Drosophila melanogaster: one gene and its partners. The protein of the gene in region 4 interacts with the protein of the main gene of each other region in a pairwise test. Each region holds a gene or a part of one and is shown on either strand. Other genes may lie near its edges.

Region 1 (5,992 bases), on a different chromosome or scaffold from region 4:
GAGCTCCTGGAAGGGCTCCTCCGTGCGCGTCAAGCGGTATTCATTGACTGTGGAAGGGGGAAACTTCGTTAGCTACGAAACTCAGCTGCTGGCGTGGCTACTTACGGTCCGCTTCCGTAATTTTGCCCTGCAATCGGAGCACGGCCTCGTTTAGGTTAACATTCAGATCGGCCCGCCGCACAATTGTGGCTACGAGGTCATAGCAGAAGCCCGGATTGTTCTGCTCCGACTTGAGAATGGCGGAGCGCAGAGATTGGGCAGCGCCAACGTCGCGTCGCTCGAGCTGCAGGTAAACGTACACAAAGTTAAGCAATTACAAACCCAAGTACCCCATGTAAAGGTTTACGCAACAGGCCACGATCTGACGGGGCTGAAGGGTTCAGAGGTACGGTTTGGGGCTGACGGGTTCGGAGCAGAGCACAGCAGAGCGGAGCCGAGCACCTGGGATCGTTTCACCTACCTGGGAGAAAATGGGCCGCAGTATGACGGGCAGAACGAGAGACGACGTGGGCTCGCCCATTGTCATTGCTACTAGTGTGCTTGGTCTTCTCTACTGGTGCCTAGGTATCCTGGCGCATGCTGCAGGAACCCAGTTGCGATTCCCGTTCCGTGCGATGTCCGTCGCTTCGCTCGCACGACGCTCGCAAATCAAATTAAAAAATTAACAAAAATTGTTCACAACAGCACAGGCACAGTGTTGTTTTTCAATACTGGAAACTAACTGGTTTTTATCGATGAACGTGTCGTGCTTGGTTAGATATCGATTGCTTCTGTAGAAGCTGATGGTAGAATCAGCTGATTTACATAAACCTATCGGAACTCTGCAATAAATTGGTTTATTTTTGTTTACCTGTCCTTTTATCAATGATAAGAGAAATGTCCAACCACGATATCAAGCTGGAGGTCTGCGTGGACTCCATACGATCGGCTTTTGCCGCCGAGGAAGGCGGAGCTTCACGCATTGAACTGTGTTCGGCATTGGGCGAAGGTGGCTTGACACCCAGCATCGGTACCCTAAAAACTATTAAGGAAACGCTCACAATGCCCATTTACTGCATGCTGAGGCCACGGCGGGGCACCGACTTTGTCTACAGCGACGAGGAGATGTGCGCCCTGCTCACGGACATGGACTTGCTGCGGGAAAACGGTGCCGATGGCTTCGTTTTCGGATCCCTGAATCCGGATCGCAGCATCAACGTGGATCAGTGTCGGCACGTTTTGCTGGCGTCCGGTGGTCTGCCAGTGACCTTTCACCGCGCCTTCGACCTCACCGACCAGAAGTCCATGGACGAGAATGTCGACATGTTGCGGGAACTAGGTTTCCGACGTCTGCTGAGCAGCGGATTCCGACCCACGGCTGCCGATGGCGTAGATTGCCTGGCACAGCTGATAGCCAAACATCAAAGAGACTTTATAGTTATGCCCGGCGCCGGCATAAAGGTGTCCAACCTGGAGGAGATCCTCACGGTCAGTCGCTGCCTAGAGTTTCACGCTTCCGCCCTGGACACGGCTGGCGAGGACTACGTGGCGCCCACCACCACGCGAATGGAGTGTGACGTGACCATGGGCAAACAGGACGTGGACCCCTACTACGGAACCAACTCCATCGTGGTGCGAAAGATGGTTACCATTGCGAAAGCGATGAGCTCCCGCTGAAAATCATAGTACTTAACCTATCCCTAAGACTTAAATTATTCCTTAACTGTTTGTTTACATCATATATAACTAGTATATACCTTTTACTTAAGTAGTCTTATCCCTAAAATTCTAAATTCTAAAAAATAATCCAAATTTGATTTGATTTGATTGTGCTGAAACAACATGATTGTGGAGATAGTAGAGAATCCTGCTGCTCTAGAACATAATTCTTTTAATGATCACTTAAATAATGCAGAAAGGGTATTGCATAGAATAGAAGCATACAATGTAAAGCTAAATAATCATATGAGGAGATTGAAAGAACTGCTGGCCAACAATAGAAGATTGATTTCGGGGCTATCGTACAATGAGCACAGCATTAAATCTTTATTGGAAAACAAAGCTCAAGATAAACAAATAGAGTAAGCTAAAGAAGGAAATATGAACTCGGTTATAAACTAATATATTTTTAGGCGAAATTCAAGTAAAAGAAGGTGTCATCTTCGTAGGACTTGCAAGGCGACCAACATCAGAGAGGCATGTTGGACGCAATGCAAGTCTCACATGGAGCCTGAAGAGGAAGAGCAAACCCAAGACGTGGTGGAGATCCAAACGAAAACACAAACATCTAGAAGCCGTTCCGGAAAAGTATGTGAACGGCAGAAAGGTGGTAGGGAGCTGAGTTCATATTACGAGCTAAGTGAGGAGATTGGTTTCAAAGGTAGGTTTTTATCAATTTCTGAGATCTCTTTCTTGAAATCCAAGTATATCCCAAGTGAAATGCATGCTAAAGCTTGTCGAAAAGATGGATTTCAAAACGGCCACAATTGCCGAAGTGAAAACCATTCGCAGAAGGGTGTTAAGTGCAATATCAAGTCGCCAAAAAAACCTGCAGTGAGCCAGAAGGAGTTTGGTCGCATCTGATATGTATGTCGAAAAATCCGTATTCCTACAAATAGGCAAATTGAATGAAATAAATTGAAAACTCTTTTCAAAATAATGACATTAGCTGTTTAATGATATTTACATATGAGGACAAGAACATTAATTTCAAATTAGGCTTATCGATATGAATCGAATTTCATGCGCAGGCGCATCTAAAATTGATTCACTCTAGCTGTGTGTTTTGGAACAGAATGGGGTCCTTGGAGCCCGAGAAAGTGTGATACAGCTGGCTCCTCCGGACAGCCCTCAGTTTACAATCACTGTCAATGTCAACATCTCGAGCTCGGCAAACGGAAAACCCACTCAAGCATTCGGCATGGACTTGGACGATGTGGCTAGTCATCACGGATTCGGTCAACATATGGCCACGTACAATGTAGAGGTGAGTCCGCCCCCACCCTTCGAGCGAACCAAGTGCGTTGTATGACCGACCCACCCTTACAGACCTCGGCGGTGCACAGGAAACTTCAAAGCAAGGTGGAGGCACTTCGAATCCTGCGCCAGGAGCTGGAACAGTTTCGCGTGGAGCGAGACCAGTACAAGCTGGTGGCGGAGACCCTGCAGCTGCGCTACTCCGCGCTGAAGAGTAATAGCGAACTTCTGGCTGTCGGTGGATGTGGAGCCCTCAGCGAGAACTCCAGCCTGGCAGCCCTGCTCCACGAGACGCGCGAGCAGAACCTAAAGCTCAGCACCGAAGTGGAAGCCCTGAGGCAGCGGCTCAACGAGCTGCATGGCGACATGGAACTACTCCGGGAGACGGAGGCCAGCAACAAGTCGCGGGTACAGGCAATGGCCAGCGAGAATGCCGCTCGCAACAAGGAGGAGCTGCAGTGGCGTCGTGAGCGGGCAAACTTTATCTGCCACCTGGAGGGCCTCAAAAAAAGGAATGCCCAGCTGGCCTTCGACCTGAAGGCGGTGATCGATGAGAAGGAGGAGCTGATAACCGAGCGGGATGCCTACAAGTGCAAGGCACACCGCCTAAATCATGAACTCTTTGTGGCCCTCAGGGCGAAGAAAACGCATCCAAGGGTGAGTTAACTGATGCTATATAGTACTTACTTGATAGTTATTGATTTTCCAGCTCCTGGACATCGATGGTGTTTTGCTGGAGAACAAGTACCTGCATGAACGTGTGAAGATCCAAGACAGCGAACTGGAGCTCACCAAACAGAGCATCAATAAGTACAAGGTACTGGTATTAGTTAAGACTTATTACCATTTTATTTATTTATATTTAAATCATTCAGACAATGTTGGATGCAAAACGAAAGAAGGGAATTGTAAAACTTGGCGGTGGGAGCACAAATGAGGACACCATTCTAAGCCCCCGGCAAGGTGAGTAATTATATGGTGGCCACCTCTTTCATGCCTTTCTAATTTGTTTGTACCCTAGTGAAAACAATCCTCGAGAGTGGCATTGAGCTGCCTCAGAAAACCGAGAGCTTAAGCGATCTAAAATCCTTGTGTCTGGCCCTGCTGGACAATCTCAACGACAAGAACTTGGCCCTGACGCACCAAAAGAAGACCAACAAGTAGGAAAATCCAGCTGAAAGTTGATATATATTTCATAAACCCATATTTCCTGCAGAATACTGGCTGGCAAAATGACGGAGCTGGAGCAGCGGTGGCAACAACTCCTCTCCGGAAACGATGACAACGCAGAGGAGCAGGAGGAGGACGTGGAATATGGTTATGCGCCTTCGCAGCTGCTCCTCAATGGCTATTGTGCCGCCATGGTAGATGACGCCGACATCAGCAGCACTCCGTCCATTGAGCCAGATAACGAAGGCGTCGCCATTACAGCGGATCATGAAGATTCAAAGAAGCACAAGTCCGTTGAGGCTCTGCATTCCGACGATGGAATGTCCTCGCTTTCAACGGAGTCCGTGGATTCGTCTGTGTACGGTGCAGATGTGCAGCCCGATGACTTCCAAAAGTCTTCATCCGCCACAACAGATTCGGGCAACTGTGGATTGAGCAGCCGCTGCAACGGCACGCCACGAATATCCAGTGCAGTGGCACGGGAACGTATGGAGGATCTGAAGGACCTGCCGCCTCACCTGGCCACTCTGGTCCAGAAAGCACTTCACGATCTGGACATGCGGGACTACGAGGCTATGGTGACGATACGAGCAGAGAATCTGGCGGCTATTCCTTAGAGAAAAACTAGTTCAATTGAGGACTCCCAAAGAAATGGATGAAACCATATCTCAGTGTTGACAAAAGATATAATACATATATATATTACCGCAACAGCGTACAATAAAACCAGATTATATAAAATAAATCACTTTATTCAATCGATATTGCGTTGAAACTGGATATGTACAATAACTATAGCATACAGTTTTAAAAGACGCGCCCAAGTTATCGATAAATAATATGCGGAGTGTTGCATACCGTTAGCATAAACACACTCTCACACACTCTTATTTCTGGGTATACATTTTCTGATAAGAATGCAATAAATATCCCGACTGGTTGGAGTAATTTCGAGTTTTTGAATTAAAAATGCCTTAAGAAAAGTTTTTAATGAGCCATGTAGAGTTAACACCAGTGCCACATATCCTGGGAATGGAGCACCAATCAAAAGTCATCATCAAGCGGCCCAAATCAGGCCAATTCTAGTCGGAAAGTCGTTGCAGCCGCCCATTGCCACCATGTCGAATGATGTGCAGGTCGCCCGGGTGGCCAAGATAGCTACCGATGTGCCGCGTCGCAGTGGCAAGCAGCGTGACTCCAGCGGATTCCAGGGCAAGCACTCCGGCAGCGCGGCTGGCGAGGATTTCGAGTACGTCTTCGGTAGCATTTCGCCGCGCGGTGGAGGACCCGGTGGCAGGCACTTGGTGGGATCCTCCGACCTGGACTCTCCGGAGCACACGCAGCGGGACACCACCGAGAGTGACAACAACATATCCAGCTGCTCCACGCTAGACATTGTCAACAAAGTGAGTAATGATGCCCGCACTGAGAGAAATAACTAGATCTTAAATCAAAAAAATCAATATATTAATTTGCAATGATACATTGGTACTAAACATGATCAAGTTCATTTTAAATTAATTTTTAAAATGATCACAAAATATTTAAAAATACCTCATTATTGTGTAGTTTAAAATAAGAAACGCAGAATTTTCAATCATTGGTTTTCAAAGTGTTTCGGGCTTTAAATTCGGTTGGCGTCCAGTGCGCAGATGCGTGTGGAAGGCTGAGGGTCAAGTTGCAGCGGCGGAGAGCGCGGATGCATCCGCGGTCGGATGACGACGTAATCGCCAGTCAAAATTTTCCACTGGACCATGATTTCGGAGCAACTGCTTCCGCGCAGCTTGAGCTGCCTGTGCTGCAGCGATACGCCATCGGTGCCCAACGACAAGAGACGCAGTTGGGAGTATACGCTGATGGCTCATCC
Region 2 (5,043 bases), on a different chromosome or scaffold from region 4:
TGGTGGACAGATCGTGGACACCCACGGACTCAGGAACACCGACTGGACACAACCGCTTCGGAGAAGAGTCTGTAGCTAAGTACAATAGCGTCCGGTGTGGGAAATCTTTGCGATATCCGAAATATCTTGACGTTGACCATGAGATAAAAAGTGTATGCGCTCAATTCGATTCAGATTGCTTGGTGTATTTGTGCATACTCGTATGTACACGATGATGGCCAAGTGTTTGTGAGCAATAATAAAGCAATCTTAAGAGAAAATGGTCTATTTTCGGATACAAAAAGGAAAAGCTCAAGGTGGTAATGAAAAATGTATTTTCTAAAGTACATTAAGCTTTCTCCCCGCCTCCCTTCAATTGGCCGCTCTAGGGTTCTTCAATGTTTGCATGTTCTGCAGTGCTTGTTTATGCTGTCAGTATACATTATTCGGTTTGTTTATACAGTCCGACTATATAGGCAAGTTCTTTTGTTTATTGTGCAAGCGTTTCGTTTCTATGGACACGACTTCATTTTCGGTTTCTGTTCAATTAAACTACACCTGCCCAGACGGCAAACATGCGAACAGCAAAATGTTGGCACAAGATAAAACATTGAATTAACTCGTAGGCGATCGTTACGCCGCGCTGCAAACTGGAAAACTGACCTATGTCGCAACTTCCTCGGTAGTCGGGCCTAGGAATTACACATGACGTGAATGTGACCAGGCTCAAAAGCCATCCATATTCACCAATACCCACCATGGTGGATAGCTAGTTTGGGAGTCGACCTGGTAAAACCCAAACTGAATGACGGAGCTTTATCTTGATGTACTTTCACTCGAATCCTAAAAGCTACAGTGCATACTAACCCAACAATTCAAAACGAGTTCGTAAAGCGGCGATTATCAATACTCTATCATGAATATATATGTATATATATATTAGGGCGGATTAAACCATAAATCATCCTTAAACTGAGTTTTACGAATTCACAAGAGCTCGTATGAATCACATGTATAAATATGAAAAATCTCTTAACGTACGCATTTGGGAGTATGTAAGATACTAAATTAAATAAATAATTTAGTAATCTTATGATTAAACTATAGGTTACGTTTAGTATAAGCTGGAGCTCTATTAGTTGCACCAGTTGGAATGCAGTTTGATTGTCTGATTCGTTGTGACCTTTTAATGGCTTTGTCAACCTGATTCACAGCACTGATTTCTCAATTACAAAACTTACATTCATCACTGGCGCCGAGTCCAGAACTGAAGTGCTGATATCCTTGTCCGAACTGGACGCCAGTGTACTCTCGGTGGCAAAGGTATCGATGCTGGTGCACTCCGAATCCTGGCTGAGTTGCAAAGTGCCATCGGGACTCTCGTCCGAATCTTCTTCTCCGCCGCTGCCATTTTCCTCCAAGGGAGCCAGTGAACTTTTGAGGACGCCCTCATCGATTTGGGACTTCTGCCGCAGTAGGGATCCAAACTTTTCGAAAAATCCATCATCTCCGTCTTGCAGTCTGCGGAAAAAGTGCAATTAGTAAATAATTCGAAAAAAGTCATTAAATATTATCTGCACTGGCTAGTCATCACTTAATGGGGATTTCATTTCGATTAGGGATACTCGTACTATGAGCAAGCTTATGTAGATGTATTTGAAAGCCCAGTGAAAAATACCCTAAAACTGAGTCATGTTTTAGTTGCGAGTGGGTGGTAAAATCGATCTGTGGCTTCCCCCACTCCCTTACATCACTTGCCATTCCTCACGCACACACGTTAATTTCACTTGATAATCTTTAATTTATCTGATGACACAGTTCCAGTTCTCCAAAATGTTCATATTTGTCTAGAGAAATAGAAACACACATTTCGGCTCGTCTGGCGAACAAATGTTTGTCTATCGGTGAGTTTTCAAGTTTTCTACAGGTATGCGTGAGTCTGTATTTTATTCATCCAACTTACTGGTGTTCATGCTCCGTGGGTGGATTCATTTTGAGCTCCTGCAACTTGAAGAAGAAGCCCTTCCACATCTGCTCCTCGTCCATTGTGATGTTGCGTTTTTAGCTTCAGAGGCACTGAATCGAAATCGGAATCCAACAAGTGTCACCGGAGTGTAGAAACATACTAACGGCTTATTTGCACCGAAACCGAAACGAACAAACGATGTGATTCATTGCCAAAGCTGCTCTCCGACGTAGATTTTTCTCAGTGGTATTCACACGCTCTTCCCTACACTATCGCAAACACATTATAATGAGCTATGGATGTTTGTAGTATCTAACATTGGGCGAAAGTGGGGAAATGGGAAGGAACGGGATGATACATACAGACAGACACCTGTTGCCATGGTGATCGGACGTTTTTTCTAGCTCTCATGCTAATGATTTTAAAAACTTATAGTTTGTAACTCTTGAAATTGTTGAATGAAAATCCATTAAGAAGTTACCAATCATCAATGGTTCTAATGGTGGTAAGCCTCACGCACACCTGTTTATGTACATATACTCTTGAAGGGCTAGGTGTTGGTATTCTTGTAACTACCTTTGCAGACTGGTGCTTCCATGGTCAAACTACGCACTTTAAGGCACATTTTCAGATGCCAAGCTAAATTATGTGCGCAACTATTTAACTACTTTAAAAACATACCTTATTTTTTCAAATATCCTTAATTCCGAGCGCCGGAAGTAACTTTTTAACATGATTAAGTCCTTTGCAAGGTCAGAATGCCAGATTGAATTAGGCTAAGAGGATTTGCAAATCCATTAGGAATTTCCTTAATTTCAATTCGAATTAACGTCTCCGTTTGTTTTTTTCGCACCCTTTAAAACTTTATTTATATCTTTTAAAATAAACAAAGATTAGATTAGATCAGTTTTGTTTATTAATTTGGTATGTAAGATATACCAACATAAATGAATCTACCGAATACCGTATTTCGATAACTTACGAATGGCAGCCCTGCAGTCCGATAATCATAACAAACCCACGGCAATAACAACAAACAAATCGTATCTCTTGTTTTTGCTGAAATTATAAATTAAAAAGCAATGAATTTAAAGTATAAGCGGCGCTACGAGAGCTTAAAACGCTCCGTCAAGAGTTATCTACTGGTAAGATCTTAGAAACTAGGGCGAAGTTATGCAAACTTAAGAGTATTTACAAGAAACCTTAAGATTCCTACTCACATATATGTTTACATTATAGCATAAAACATTTACGGGAAGTTATATGATCTATTAACTTTATAATACCAATTTCAGGAGAACGCCGCCCTCACGGATGAGATCTGTCGTCTGCAGGCCGAACTATCTGTGACCCGATCCCAAAGACTTTACTTGATAGAGCGCCTCATGTTTCACGAGGGCTTGGAGAAATCCAACAGTGGACGACCCAGTGTCTCGAATGGAAAAAACGACGCCGCTGAAACCACAAAGAAATACAGTCCTGTAGTTTCGCATAAGAACCCCGTCGAAGATAAGCCAAAAAATGTTACAATTGTACGGAAAAAGAAGCCCATGTTTCCGATGAACCTAAATAATGTATTACTCCACTCACTGGGCGAGATTATATCAGTGAATCCCAATTTTCACACTGAGAGCTGGATATATCCCGTGGGATATGTGGCCACACGAATCTACGCCCATCCCAAGGATCCGCGCAAGAAGTGTGTGTTCACATGTAAGATTTTAAATAACGCCGGGATTCCTCAGTTCCAAATAATACCCGACAATGATCTGGATGGAGTTTTCTTCGGAGAAAGCGCCAATATGTGTCACATGGAGCTTCTAAACTCCATTCAGCGGTCTCCCTGCGTTAAAATTAAAATACCGTTCGACGTACAGGGCGAGGTTTTCTTTGGCTTGTCAAACCAAAAAACACAATCGCTGCTTATGATGGATCCTGCCTTTCATCAGTGCACGAATTTCAAGGGATTCGCGGTGCAGAATGTGCAGTCCTTAAACAGCGCGTCTTTATCCTTTGAGACGCTCCAGGGATTTCTATCTTGATAAGATCTGTTTTTACTATTTGATTCTCGATATAAGAATAATAAGTTTATAATATAAAGACGAATTTTATTTCTCTGATACAATCGTTGCGAGAAGTACTTAGTTATGTACCTAAGTATGTACCTGGTACATGATACGAAAACACTAAAAACCCGAAACAGCTGATCTGTTTCAATTCCATCTCGTCCGTTTCAAAATATACTTTCCAGCTGTATAATACGTTATAATACAGTTTAAAATATTAAATTATTACGAGTGTTTGGGACAGATTGGTTAACAATTTCCAGTTAAATAGATAACATATTATTCTAAAAACTCTTTGTCCCACTTCCGCATGATTCAATGTGCTAAAATCATATGTTTTATGTGGGCATTCGCGGTTATTTCAAATGAAACTGTGCATTTGTACAATTGTTGTCAACTATCGACTTTTCTATAGAAATGCCGAAAAAAACAAGCTGGCAACCTGCCGAGGCAATCGGAAATACAACCCTCGAATCGAAACATATGTACACAACACCTATCTGAAAAGTATTAAACAATATTTTGGGAAAGTTGTTTTGGCTAGCGTTAAATTAAACGACATCCCAACCAGCAGCTGAGGATATAGCCAACCAACAGAATCGGAATCAATCAAGATGGGGAGCATAGAAAAGGCGTGCATATCGGGATTTCTATGCCGACTGTGTTCAGAGATGCACCGCACAGTAATACATATTTATAGTGATCATGGCCAGCGTTTGTGTCTTGTTGAGAAAATCAACGGTTACCTACCAATTACAGTGAGTATTGCCAACTAATGGACGCTGCTGAAAAGGCGGAGCTACACACAAATCACGTTCCCATCGTCAAGGATGTTTGTGTGTACCCAATGTCAGCCATTCCAATAGTTTTTCCCAACTATCAGCATCTTGTTAAATAATTTATTGATTTATCACCTACTGCTCAATTGCACCAGATATCTCCGACTGATCCATTGCCAAAAACCATATGCAAATCATGTCTGCATCGCGTGGAGCAGCATTACTCGCTCCTGATGCGTCTGACGCGGATGCG
Region 3 (5,182 bases), on a different chromosome or scaffold from region 4:
CCAGGCCCTCCTGGATCGCACTGCTAAGCTTCTTTTTCAGGTTCCCGAACATCTTGCGACAACGGATCTCTATTTATTTAACTTAGCGATTTCTAATTGTCTTCGCGCTGGCGTTTTCCATCGAAAATTGAGTGGTAAATAAAGAATCAGCTGTTCGGGCAGGTGCTGAGAGAAAATCGGTCATAGAGAGAGAGAGAGAGCAACAGTTTGTTGCCGTACACGAGAGGCATATCAACTATGGCAAGAGCTCTGGCACGTGGTTTTTATTACTTACTAAAACTAATAAGTATTATTAACATTTCAAATTTTGCATTTTTATTTTATAATTTAAATAAAAAAATGAACCCAAAGTTGATATTATAAACAGACACAACAGGGTATCATTCGGTGGTATATTTAGTATATTACTATTAAACATAACTTAAAAAAAAACCAACCAAATATGAATCTATCTATGGCAGAGCTTATATCTGTAATAATAATATAAAAACAATATTCTTAGTTTGGTTCAACTTCAGTTTGTTTCCTTTAAAATTTCATTCTGATCTTACATAACGATTCTCTAACTAAAGTTTAGCCTAATTAATCCTCGGTCAGGTCCACTGTAGTGACAGCTGTGCTATCGTCCACTTGTTGATTTGTGCTATCCGATTGAGACGGATATTCAGGTTCAGACGCAGGTTCAGTTTCACATGCCTTTTTTTTGGGCTCTTCATGGTACTCAATTATCTCAATATCACTATTATCACCAGATTCTAGGGTTATACAGCTGCGTACGCTGTTCTTTGCTTCTGAATCTGAGTCCGAGCTTGATTTATTGCCGCTGGACTCGGAGCTCGAGCTTACTTTAATGGTGAGAACATTTGGCTCTTCGTCGCTGGATGAAATGGACAGGGCCTCGGGCTTCTCGGATTTGTCCACCTCTTCGTCGGACATAAGTTCCCGGAATATATCGCTTATAGGAGAGGAGGAGTGTTCCTTAGACTCGCTGGCTTTCTTTTGGCTGCTCGGGTTTAGTAATTGACCATAGGCCATGGCCACTGCAAGAGCCATTTGCTTGGAGTGGTTTAGGAACACATCTGAAGGCGGGGGTATACGTAACGACTCGCTGGGTGCGGATTCCCAATCGCAACCGCTGCTGCTCTGGCTGCTTCTTCGTCTTCTGTGTGATTTTTTGTGTTTTTTAACCTTCTTTTTGCGCTTTTTTCGCCGATGTGAACTGCTGCGACTTCGACTGCGGCTTGAACTTCTGCTGCTCCTAGTTCTTCTTCGGCTGCGATGCTTCTTGGCCTTTTTGTGGCGGCTCCTGCTGCGCCTTCTGCTGGAACTTCTGCTTCTATCAACACTTTGAGTTCTGGGTGCATCGCGGCTGTAAAAGTAGTTGGACTTCCTCCTTTCGTGCACATCATCCAGATCCTGCAGCTTCTGTCGGCAATTTGCCTGTGTGCGCTCCTTTTCTCTATCATTATGCCGAATCGCGGTGTTTATGGTGCGGCCTAAGAAGCGTTTGTTTAGTTTGCCCAGAGGATTCACTTTGCGTTCGCTTTGTTTCGAGGTGCTGACACTGGCATTTGCACCTTCGATCTCGCGCATTAGCTCGGCAATCGCCTGACTAACGTGAGAGCATCAAATTAATTAAAAATATATCGGATTGTAATATAAATATTTACTTTGTTAGGTCTGCGTCCATTTCCATTTTTTGTGTTTGTTTATGGCATTTAATTGAATACCAATTGCTGCGAAACAAAAAATACCGCGGACGGTAAGTGCTACTTATAAGTATTTTTAAAATACTAAGTATAAAGCGATTATTGTATGTGCGTTAAATTAGCGTCGATGAGTTCGCGGCGATGACGGAACGGTGGAAATCAAAACATGGGGACGTTTTTTATTTATTTATTTCTTTTCGTTATTTGGAGGTGAATTGCAAAAAATAAAATAAAGATCTTACTAACTATTCCCACATTTTCGGGAATTTCTCCACTCGTAGAGCGTGACCACTTTTAAGGACATTTCTTTAGGGAAACGGCGGGGCAGACGTCAAGACATTCGTTGGGCCACGGGTGACAGTCGGTCGGGCGGGGCAGCAGGTGGGACAGTAAGCGTGGGGAGCCAAGTTTTCAAGTGCATATTTCATATACTTTCTTGAGTCCTATGAACTTAAGTCGTACATAGGTAGTTAGATATTTTTTTAAACGTTATTGCATTTTTTTGAATTCAATAATGAAAGAATAAATTATTCAAAATTCCATCGTTCCTCCGTTCCTCCTACACTAGCGATATTCTTGTCGATTAATATTGTCAGAGTAATCTTTTCTGCAAAATACCACAAATTAGTCCAACGATATCGATTGGCACAATCATCGATTAAAGTTTAAAAAATGACGACCGGCCGCAATAAATTGAATTTCTAGTTGGTTAAAGTAACGTTTATTGAAGAAGATCACATAATCGAGTACGACTAATATCACAGGTGAATCACAATCTTTATGTTTCAGATTCCTGGCCAACTATTTCCTGCCGTCTATCACTTTCTGCATCCAGGACACGTATTTACTGACGCGCGTGTAGATTCCGGGCAAACCTGGACGTGCACAGCCGATCCCCGTGGACACCACGCCCACCAGATGATGCTCCTTGGACATCAGCGGACCGCCAGAATCCGCCTGTGAAGGTAAGTAAACCCGGAGCATAACATGTGTGCCGTATCAGCCAAGTGAATACTCACCCAACACGAGTCGATTTGACCGTTTTCATAACCGGCACACAACTGTGTCTCTCCAATGGTATTGCTCTTGCCCAAGGATCGGTAGGACCTCTCGCACGCCTCGTTGTTCCAGATCTTAACGGTAGCCTTGCGCAGTACATCGGATCGATCGTTTTCCGCTTGGTTCTCGTGCGTCCAGCCCCAACCGGAAACTGTTCCGTACTCCTGCTCCAGACTTCGGTGCCCCTCCTCGGATCCCACGCAGCTGGGCTGGATGTGTGAAGAGAATCGGATTGGCTGTACCAGCTCCAGGAGGGCTGTAAAAGAATAAAATACCAATTTGCAATAGCTTAAGGAATACTAAGAATAATAAGTATTATTTGATTCGTCTCTGATTCATTATGGTTAATGTTAATATCCTTTGTTGAAACTATTTCCTACCTATGTATTTCTGTTTGTTTTTTTAAAACCTAAGCGCATATTTTTAATGGTGTTTTACTAGATTAAAATTTTTTATTCATTTTACTGAAAAATAATGTCATGTTAATGTCATATTGTTGATTTATGATTCAGTTCTGTACATATGGAAAATAATTGAACCTGCAATTACCCCTTAAAAAACACACATACCTATATCGTGTTTCACATCGTTGCAGTCGTATTGCGGATGGGGCACAATGTTCTTGAAGTCCACCCTCAGTGCATCCGGACCGTTGCCAATCCCGTTGAGGTACTCCCTGATGCTATGCAAACCCACAACTCCTTGGATTTGAGCTGGTTTCATGAACTGCTGCAGCCCATTGCAGATGCAATGTCCCGCCGTGAGGATCCATCGCTCCGAGATGATAGTGCCGCCACAAAAGTGACCACCACGACGCATCAGACTGACCATGTAGGGCATTTCGTTGCGCTCCGCCTCACTACCTCCCACGATTTTTGGATTTCGAACCGAGCATGGCTGGTTGCTAACTGTCATGGGAGTCAGAGGAATTTCAATTTGCGTGAGTTCATGATAAGGAGTGTTGAAAATAATTAGTTAATATAAGCAGAACGCATTTATTTATATTTCTCATAATCTAGTAAACTTTTCCTTATGCACGTTTTATGATTATACAAGTTTTGATAGAATCTTGAAATATTTGTAGGTTGAGTTCTTATCAAATAGGGAAGCATAAACTGTTGCAATTGGAACATTAGATGTTAGATTTATCCAGTGAATTTAGCATATAAATCCACAATGCTAAAAGATCATGCTTTCTTAATTGATATAAACTAACCTAAAATATTAAGGACTGCAAAAATGAATGGAATATTAAACACAAGTTAAAAGTTAAAAGGTAGTTCCCAGGAATCCTAATTTAGGAACTATAATTATTTTATTTTTCATATTATATTTGACTTATTACTCTTTTCGTCACATTTGTTCAATCAACTCACAAGCAATTTGGGATTGTGCACACTTCACTAGCGACAGAACCGCGACTACGAATACGATTTTCAACATTTTCTGTGTGCACAACCAGTGTTCTTAGCCCCGAAAAAAAACCCGTTAAGCACGGCTCAAGCTTAAACGAAACTGCCACGAATATTCTGTGCGGCAATTAATTTATATATAGGTGTCTGGGCGTCCAGCGCCTCTCCGTTCCACTGACTTACTTCACTGTCGTCCGGAGTTCTATGCGGATTAGCCGGAAAGCTCGCTCTCTCGGCCTGATAACAAACGGAAGTCGCAGCCGGGCCTTTGGCACCTGTTGCCTCAGCTGAGAGCTTTTTTTGCGCTGCACTACCTGTCTCATCGCCTTTTTTTTTTTTGCTGGTATTGTGGGCATGGGTGCCATGTGCACACGTTATGGCATTTCAATTGCTCCAAGGGGGGGGGGGGTGAATTAAGGAGCTGCCGAAAAGTCGAAAACAAACCCAAAAGTAAACAATGGCCGAAATAAAGTTTTGTGTGTTTTGCGTTTTATGACCCAGCGAAGTTCATGACATTGAAAAGTGCGCGACAAAAGGTGTGACAATATTTATGCTGAATTTTCGATGCCACCACTACGAGTTTATTGCACCTCTATCCTTATTTTAGTACATTATTATTGCGATTAGCACGTATTTAGGGTGTTATTGAAATTGTTGTATGGTTAATAAAGAAAAGGGTGTAAATATTATTATGACTTGTTAATCAACTGAAATGCTATTGCATAACTACAGAAAATTTTATAAATGATTCAAAACCAACTCTTTTGATTTTAAATTTCTTTTTGCTTGCATGTAGTATCTTTTATTTCTTCAGTTCTTATGATTTACAATGCATTTTTGTGTTCCTACAAGATCTAATTTATCTAATCTATCTTAAGAAAGTTAAAAAAGTTTCTAGGATTTGCGTAATCGTTACAGTTATGTCATTGCCTGCATTTGACACAATTAGTTCGCACATTGCAGCTAACCTTAGACGTCATATTTCCATCAGTTTAGACCTGG
Region 4 (7,072 bases):
CGCTCAAAAATCGACTTCCGCCCGCTTACGCTATTCAAGCCACACTTTTGCTCTTACCTTCGCCCTTTCGCAAGTTTTTGTTTTCGGGGAAATTGAAAGACCTGCAAGTGACAATGGCAGTGGAGACGGAAGAAAATGCAGTCAAGTCGATTTCGTATTTAATAACCATTTAACTATGAACTATGCTGCTATAAAGTTTATGCTGCATATATGTATGTACATTTATATCTGTGAATATCTATCGTTTTTCACTGTGGCAAAACAAATCAACTTTTCCGATTGTAAACTTGCCCCAAAAACAAAAAGAAAATTATAATAACAACGAACAGCAGAAAAAGGCCAAGAAAAGTTGCTGCGCCTGTCACATTGTCACAAAAATCGAATAAAGTTTTCCATTGAAATCGCACACACACACACACACCCCCTTAGATTTGTGTGCTTTTCCGCTTACCTGTTGCCACCTTTTTTGTTGTTGTCGTTTTGGCAATGGAAAGGTGCGCTCACTTCCTGGTCCGCCGGCTGGTCAGAGGTCAGGAGTTCAGCGCTAAAGGCACAAACTCACCGTGGCACTGCGTTTGTTCCATTATTAAACGGCACTTTGGCCACGCAGGCAAACTACCCGGCGTTTCTTCAACTTTGGCCGACAGCTCCAATGGTTGGGTGCGTACCATCTAAAAACTGATTCCATCGACTGCCAGACAAAAGCGGTAACCATTTGGCCACCACCCACCACCCACCAACCAACCAACAACACAGTAATTAGAAATCGGGCACAGTTGCCTGGGGTACTGGGAACAGTGTTCGCAGCCGCTTAGTGTTCCCACTGCTGTTCCCAGTATTTGTATTTCTCTTAAAAGCGCTTAAGAGCGGATTAAGCATTAGCTTTAGCTAAAGGAAAATTAATGTTTTTCTTATATGCAATATAAGCAGTTAGGCTAACTATTCAGTTGTTAACACAATAAAGTTAAAAGGTGTATTTATTTGGACATATTACATTTAATTACAAGAATGCTGGATCTCTGATTGTCAGGCTTTCCCCTCCGCAGCTGAGAACAGTTGCGACCACAAACTGTACCCACTTGAAGGAGAGAATGCAGTCAACATTCTGCGTCCGCGATTCATCCACAGGTTGTTACAATATAAACCCAACCAATTAATCTAAAATGGGTTAATTTGCGAGTTTTGCAGTGTCAAAACAATAATATTTAACCAGGTGAAAAACCTATAATTTGATAAGCCTATCAAGCTTGTTATCGCTGCCATTGCATTGTCATTTGGTTGGGGAAAAACCTCTGCAGGAATACACCAATCTTATCGCGGTGCGTAATGTCCATAAGCCCCCCATTCGCATTTCCCCAACTTAAGCAACACAAATAGAGTAATTACTCACTCGTAATGTATCTAGTTTAAAGTGTAGTTTTAATTCATTTCCGCCAGCTGCATTAATAATGCAATTGAGTCATTTGCAATCGCACTCAGAAAGTAATGGGTATTATATAGTTGAGCTTAACGAATGCACTTGTACCGTGGAGAAGAAAATAAATAAATTAAGTTTCCATAAAAAATACGAAGTATATAGATTTGAGTTTTGTTTTTTTTTTATTTAATTTCATTTTTTTAGATGTTTTTTTAATGATTTTTTATAGAATAATAGAATAGAAGCTTCTGGGTGTTAAATGTATAGTAATATTGAAGGTTATATGTGTGGGAGGTTGTATTGAAGGAATCTTAATGCATCTTAAACGCTGGCTGCGATTGCCTAATCACGTCCATGTCCATGTCCATGGCCATGTCCATGTCCATGTCCATGCCCATGTCCATGAGCGCGTTTTCCGTGCTTCTTTTTGCCCTTCTTGCGCTCCTCCCTCTCGACTTTGGGGAAACTCTCCTGCTTTTCCTTGCGGCAGTGGGATCGGGACAGAGAACGACTGCGACGACCTGGAGGGAACTCAGCTGGTGGTGGTCGATGATGGGCAATAGGAAACTCCGGACGGGGCTGGTGCTCAAAACGCGGTCCTTCACCGGATTCTCTTTGGGGAACGTCAAAGAATGGTCCGAATTGGGGGCCATGTCCATGTTCGACAAATGGACCATGATGTGGACCAAAGTGATGGCCATGGTGTCCGCCGTGATGGGGACGGTAACCTTCATGGCGCGGACCAAAGTGGTGGTGGCCATGTGGAGGTCCGAAGTGGTGCCCGCGTCGATGGGGAATCTTCTGCACTTCGCCATCGGAGCTGGAGCTGGAGCTGGAGCTGGAGCTGGAGCTGGAGCTGGAGCTCGATGAGGAGCTGGATGAGGAGCGCTGCTGTCTTTTCTTCTCCTTGCCCTTTCCCTTGCCCTTGCACTTCTGCCTCTTCTTCTCATCCTCCGAGGAAGAACTGGAGCTGGAACTGGAACTGGACCTCGGCTTGCGGCAGTGCTTCCTCTCCAGCGAACCGGATGTTGAACGGGAAAGTGATCTCTCTAGTCGACGGCCATGTCGTGGACGCGTTTGGCCATATCCGTATCCGTATCCTGGTCCGAATCCGAATCCGAGATCTCCACGACAGTCGCGCCTAGATAGTCTAGGCAGCGAGTGGCTCCTCCGATTGGCCGCGGCATTGTCCAGGGCCCACGGCAGGCCCATCCATTGAAAAAACTGGGACTGATCATGCCAAGGTCCGCGAAAGGATCTCCGATCGAAGTCAAAGGGAGAGGGCCCAGCGTGAGGTCCAAAGTGTGGTCCAAAATGGGGACCAAAGTGGTGACCATGCGGATGGTGGTGGTGCGGCCGTCCATGATGTCCATGTCGGCCATGATGATGCGGCCCGTGACCATGTTTGTGGCCATGCTTGCGACCATGCTTGTGGCCAAAACCGTGGCCAAGACGACGACCGAAGCCGTGATGGCCATGTGGTCCTCGGCGCCATGGATTGCTGATCCAGCCGTAACCGTTATAGAATACCTCTTCGTCCTCGGAGCTGGAGCTCGAACTGGAGGAGCTGGAACTGGATGAGCTGGAGCTGGAAGAGCTGGAGCTGGAGGTGTTGGAGGGCTCCTCGCCAGCCGCCGTCTGCTCTTCCGCCTGTTTTTTGGCCTGTTGCTTGGCCAGCTTCTTGGCCTTCTTCTTGTCCTTCTTGGCCTTCTTCTTCAGCTGCTTCTTGGTCCTTTTGGTGCCCTGTTCCTGCTCCTGCTGCCGACACCTGGCCTCCTCCTCGGCCAGCAGGATCATGGCCTGCTCCAGCATGCGCTGCACCTTGGTCACCTTCTTCAGGGCTTTGGTGTATCGCTTGGAACTGGCTGGTGGCATCCTGGCCTCCTCCTCCACCTTGGAGGTCGTATCCTCCACAAAGTCAATATCGCAGTCGATCAGCTCTTGGGAAACACGCTCCCGATCCTGATCCTGCTGCTGCTGCTGCTGCAGTCTGGACAACTCGCTCATGTTGATAGTATCTTCAATGCGATTTACCTTCACTGGTGTAATACTAGTTGCTTTTTTGCTTGGTTTAACGGTTTAGAGTTCGCTGGGATACGCTATGCCACAAAGCTGAAAGCTTGCAAACTGATGCCATTCGCTTGCCGGCCGGCACTTTTTATACGCTCAGCGGCGTCGGCGGTTGGCGGCGCCAGCGGAGCGGCAAGGCGGCAAAGGGGCAAAGGGGCAAGGAAGCGGTGAGAACGCCCCACTGGTGGAGCACTGAAATGCGTCGCAGAACAAAAACGGGGAACAGTGGAACCTCAATACAAATTAAACATTTCAATAGACAACAGAAAAAGCCCTTCGCAAATTTATAGGTGTGTGAATCTTGGCCTTAAAATTCAATCCATGAAATATAAAACGTATCTAAATAAACAAAATCTGCAATCTAAATGTGCATCTAACATATTCTAAAAACTGGCGCTAAATAACAAAAAAAAAATAATATTATTTGCAACACATTGATTGAGACTAACGTGAGTGCGGTTGATCTAGGTCCACGTTAGGGAGGCTCGTCTGTAGCTCGCTGCTCTCTCACCAATACCAACGCGCGCGTTTGTTTTCACAATTTGCTATCGAGTACGTGGATTTTGCGTCGTTCTCCGATTATCAAAACAAAACAAAACAAAGCTAAATAAAACCGGAATAACGCTTCAAAAAAAGCTTTGGCAGTGGGGAATTTTTTGCAAGAGTTTCGTCATGTGATGAAATAGCTCCACAAAACGCAGCACAAGAAAAAACTAAACAAATGATTCAAATTAACGAAATTAAGTCTATGCTGAATTTCGCCAGACACTGCAAATATCGAAATGGATAAAGAACAGTCTGGAAAATGGAATTGGTGGTCTTCCTGGCAAAGTTCACAGCCCAAAAAGGAACCGAACTCACTTTGCAGGACATTTAGGCATCGGGGATCAGGGATCAGGGATCATTCGTTACATTCTCAGATGGATATGCTCATAATGCTCCATGATTAGTTATCACTCATGCACTAAGTAGATAATCCATCTGTAAATGACATTTTTCATATTGGAACTTAAATTCCAATGCAACAAAAATTCAACACAGGCTGTTTTTTTATTTTATATATTTATATTGAAAAAATACACTTAAAACTATTTAATTTATTGCATAGAGATCAGCACATCACCACAACATCGATTCTTTTGATAAGTAGAATTTCAAAATTATATATAAATTATATATATTATATACATTTATATTTGCACCAATAACACATCAATATATTTTTGAAGGTCTTCTTTACGAATTTCACCACAAATCAGAAAATACTGATTACGCATATGATTTTTTATTTATGTTTTAAAAATTTCATAAATATTTGGTAAACGGAAAAACGTAAGAAATCACAGATTTAAAAAGGGGTATTCAAAACATCACACTTCTCATACGCAAAATGGGACTTCACATTATAGGCAATATTTGGAACTTTTTGTTTGAAAACAATACGAAATATATTTATTTATTCTTCAATTTCATTATCATTCACAGAATTTTAATATGGCAGCAGGGTGTTTTGGTGAGATTTCTTGAGAAACCCATATCAGGGGAGCACTTATTCATAAAATGGGAGTAAACATAGTTCGGCAACTATGTATGTTTGTAAATTTCATGGGACCTCTTGGGACTTGAACACGAAAACAAAAAATGAGTATACACTTGAGTTTTCATTTTTGCATCAACTTTATCACAACGCAGCTCAACGACTGAGGCATCAGATCTTTGGATCTTGTTTATAGCATTTCCAGTTTCTCAGAAACTGGAGAACCGTTTGGGGGGCAGGGAAATATGAGTCACATAGTATATACTTATGTATATTGGTTGGGGTATGGGCAACTTATGTAAGGCGATCGCAATAGGGCACAATATCATCCCATAGGGATTGTTTAGGATATATGTATATATATCCATGAAATGCGATTCTTTTATAAGAGAACGGAATCTCTGGCACTGGGCACTGGGATATACTTTTCTTTTCTTGACTTTTCATATTTTATTAATTCTCAATGACTTTTGATATCTTGTGAACACGTTGCGAAAAAACGCTCCGATTTGTTCGGCCGATGTCGCCAAATGAAAGCCCCACGTAAGCGAGATAGTGCCACTCCATTGCTCCACAAAGTTTTTGGCGAGAAAGCTTAAAGCTTTCGTTCACTTGATAATGAACGAAACTCGGAGAGAAATAGAGAGCGAGTAGGGTTGCCAGAGTGTTAAAGTATTAAACTGATCGTAAGCTTTGTTGAACCCGAAACTCAACACATTCCGAAATCGATTTGGATTCGGAACAATCGACTGTATCGTAAACGCGAATTTATCAAAATGTAATAATATAATTTTAATTTTGGAAGCAGAGCTCTCTTAGGTATTGAAACTATTTAGTCTTTTGAAATTATTTCACGGCATATACATATATAATATTTATTTGTTACAAATTGAAATCATTAAATTAATTACATCTAGATCCCACAGATAACCTTAAGATTAGGCAGATTTTGGGCGTTTCGGCAATATCGTTGCCATCCTGCCCAATGACGAAAACCATCCGAGGTTTGGATGCGCTTGGCGCAAGTAACCGACTCCCTTAAATTTTCGTCCAAAAAATCTAAAAATATTTATATTTAGTTAAATTTGAATAGAATACGATTTGCCAGAGCAGCCCTCACAAACCTTCGCACTTGGCATTGCAAATGCCGCCACGCCTTCCCTCCTGACAAAACCTGCCATTGATTTGGAACAGCCCATAGTTCCGAGATCCATTCGCATTGGTTGTAATCCTGCCGGTATCCAGATCGCTTTCGTGCTCTAGCAAACAAATCCCTTAAATGGGGCAAAATCAAAAGTCACAACCCATTTATAATAGTTTGCTAATCTTAAGATAGAGCATACAGTATAGAGCATTTTTAATATATGTACATCTGGGTTTCCCACTCACAATTCGAGAGCAGACTGCGTTCGAAACCATGCTGATCGAGCAACTTGCGGGCCAGTTCACAGCGCAGGAAACGCTTGGCGGAAACCACGCCGCACTCGATGGCCAGAAGCAGGCCCAATCCCAATCCCAGCCAGTACCACGATCCGAATGGCGCAGCTCTCATATTGCGACTGCCTGGTGATGGCGATGGCCCCTGTGGACGCACCATAGAATCAAGCGAACGCGACGCGTGACCTTGGCCAAATGACTCCGGAATGGGATGGAATCAAATGGGGTCAGATGGAAGGCAGATAGTGGGAGAGCCGGTGGCCGATAAGCTGGGGGCGTACTAAATGGAATCGGTATGGCTTACTCCATGATGATGCCTAATCTTCCCCTGCCCGAAACGAAGCTCTTCCGTTTTCGGTTATTGAAATCACAACAGGCGGCGGCGTTCATAAATCTTTTGTCTCTTTAATATACAAGAGAGTTCATAGATTGATTAGTTATCATAAATTAAACGATAGTTAAGCCTAGATCATAAGATAAACTGTGTGTATAATTATTTATTCTTCGCTATTGTATAAATCTCTCCTGTTGCCAATTCTTTCGCTACGTAGGTCCAAGAACACATTTACTCCTTCGGCTGAACTTGTAAATACATATCTACGTGGGCGGTA

What was found.
Region 1: the proteins of CG15784 (region 4) and CG14868 interact in a two-hybrid assay, tested with the Drosophila melanogaster proteins (one large-scale study listed by BioGRID).
Region 2: the proteins of CG15784 (region 4) and CG31111 interact in a two-hybrid assay, tested with the Drosophila melanogaster proteins (one large-scale study listed by BioGRID).
Region 3: the proteins of CG15784 (region 4) and CG14074 interact in a two-hybrid assay, tested with the Drosophila melanogaster proteins (one large-scale study listed by BioGRID).

The regions. Positions count from the first base shown.
Region 1 is NT_033777.3:15,366,686-15,372,677, reverse strand, and holds CG14868 (uncharacterized protein), read left to right. Parts: upstream 1-2,732; 5' UTR 2,733-2,899; coding exon 2,900-2,965; intron 2,966-3,027; coding exon 3,028-3,612; intron 3,613-3,664; coding exon 3,665-3,772; intron 3,773-3,830; coding exon 3,831-3,918; intron 3,919-3,976; coding exon 3,977-4,115; intron 4,116-4,171; coding exon 4,172-4,742; 3' UTR 4,743-4,862; downstream 4,863-5,992. Other genes in the region: Ccm3 (cerebral cavernous malformation 3), read right to left, coding at 1-47, 106-283, 461-526; CG6136 (uncharacterized protein), read left to right, coding at 865-1,656; CG34404 (uncharacterized protein), read left to right, coding at 5,244-5,531.
Region 2 is NT_033777.3:25,054,082-25,059,124, reverse strand, and holds CG31111 (uncharacterized protein), read left to right. Parts: upstream 1-2,947; 5' UTR 2,948-3,027; coding exon 3,028-3,090; intron 3,091-3,240; coding exon 3,241-3,987; 3' UTR 3,988-4,049; downstream 4,050-5,043. Other genes in the region: stac (staccato), read right to left, coding at 1,221-1,500, 1,943-2,025; CG31109 (uncharacterized protein), read left to right, coding at 4,626-4,769, 4,946-5,043.
Region 3 is NT_037436.4:18,862,750-18,867,931, reverse strand, and holds CG14074 (uncharacterized protein), read right to left. Parts: upstream 1,708-5,182; 5' UTR 1,671-1,707; intron 1,613-1,670; 5' UTR 1,594-1,612; coding exon 583-1,593; 3' UTR 501-582; downstream 1-500. Other genes in the region: Dysb (dysbindin), read right to left, coding at 1-52; CG6865 (uncharacterized protein), read right to left, coding at 2,511-2,666, 2,729-3,024, 3,338-3,676, 4,145-4,211.
Region 4 is NC_004354.4:5,427,032-5,434,103, reverse strand, and holds CG15784 (uncharacterized protein), read right to left. Parts: upstream 4,534-7,072; 5' UTR 3,425-4,533; coding exon 1,760-3,424; 3' UTR 1,578-1,759; downstream 1-1,577. Other genes in the region: CG16756 (uncharacterized protein), read right to left, coding at 5,938-6,083, 6,149-6,298, 6,414-6,576.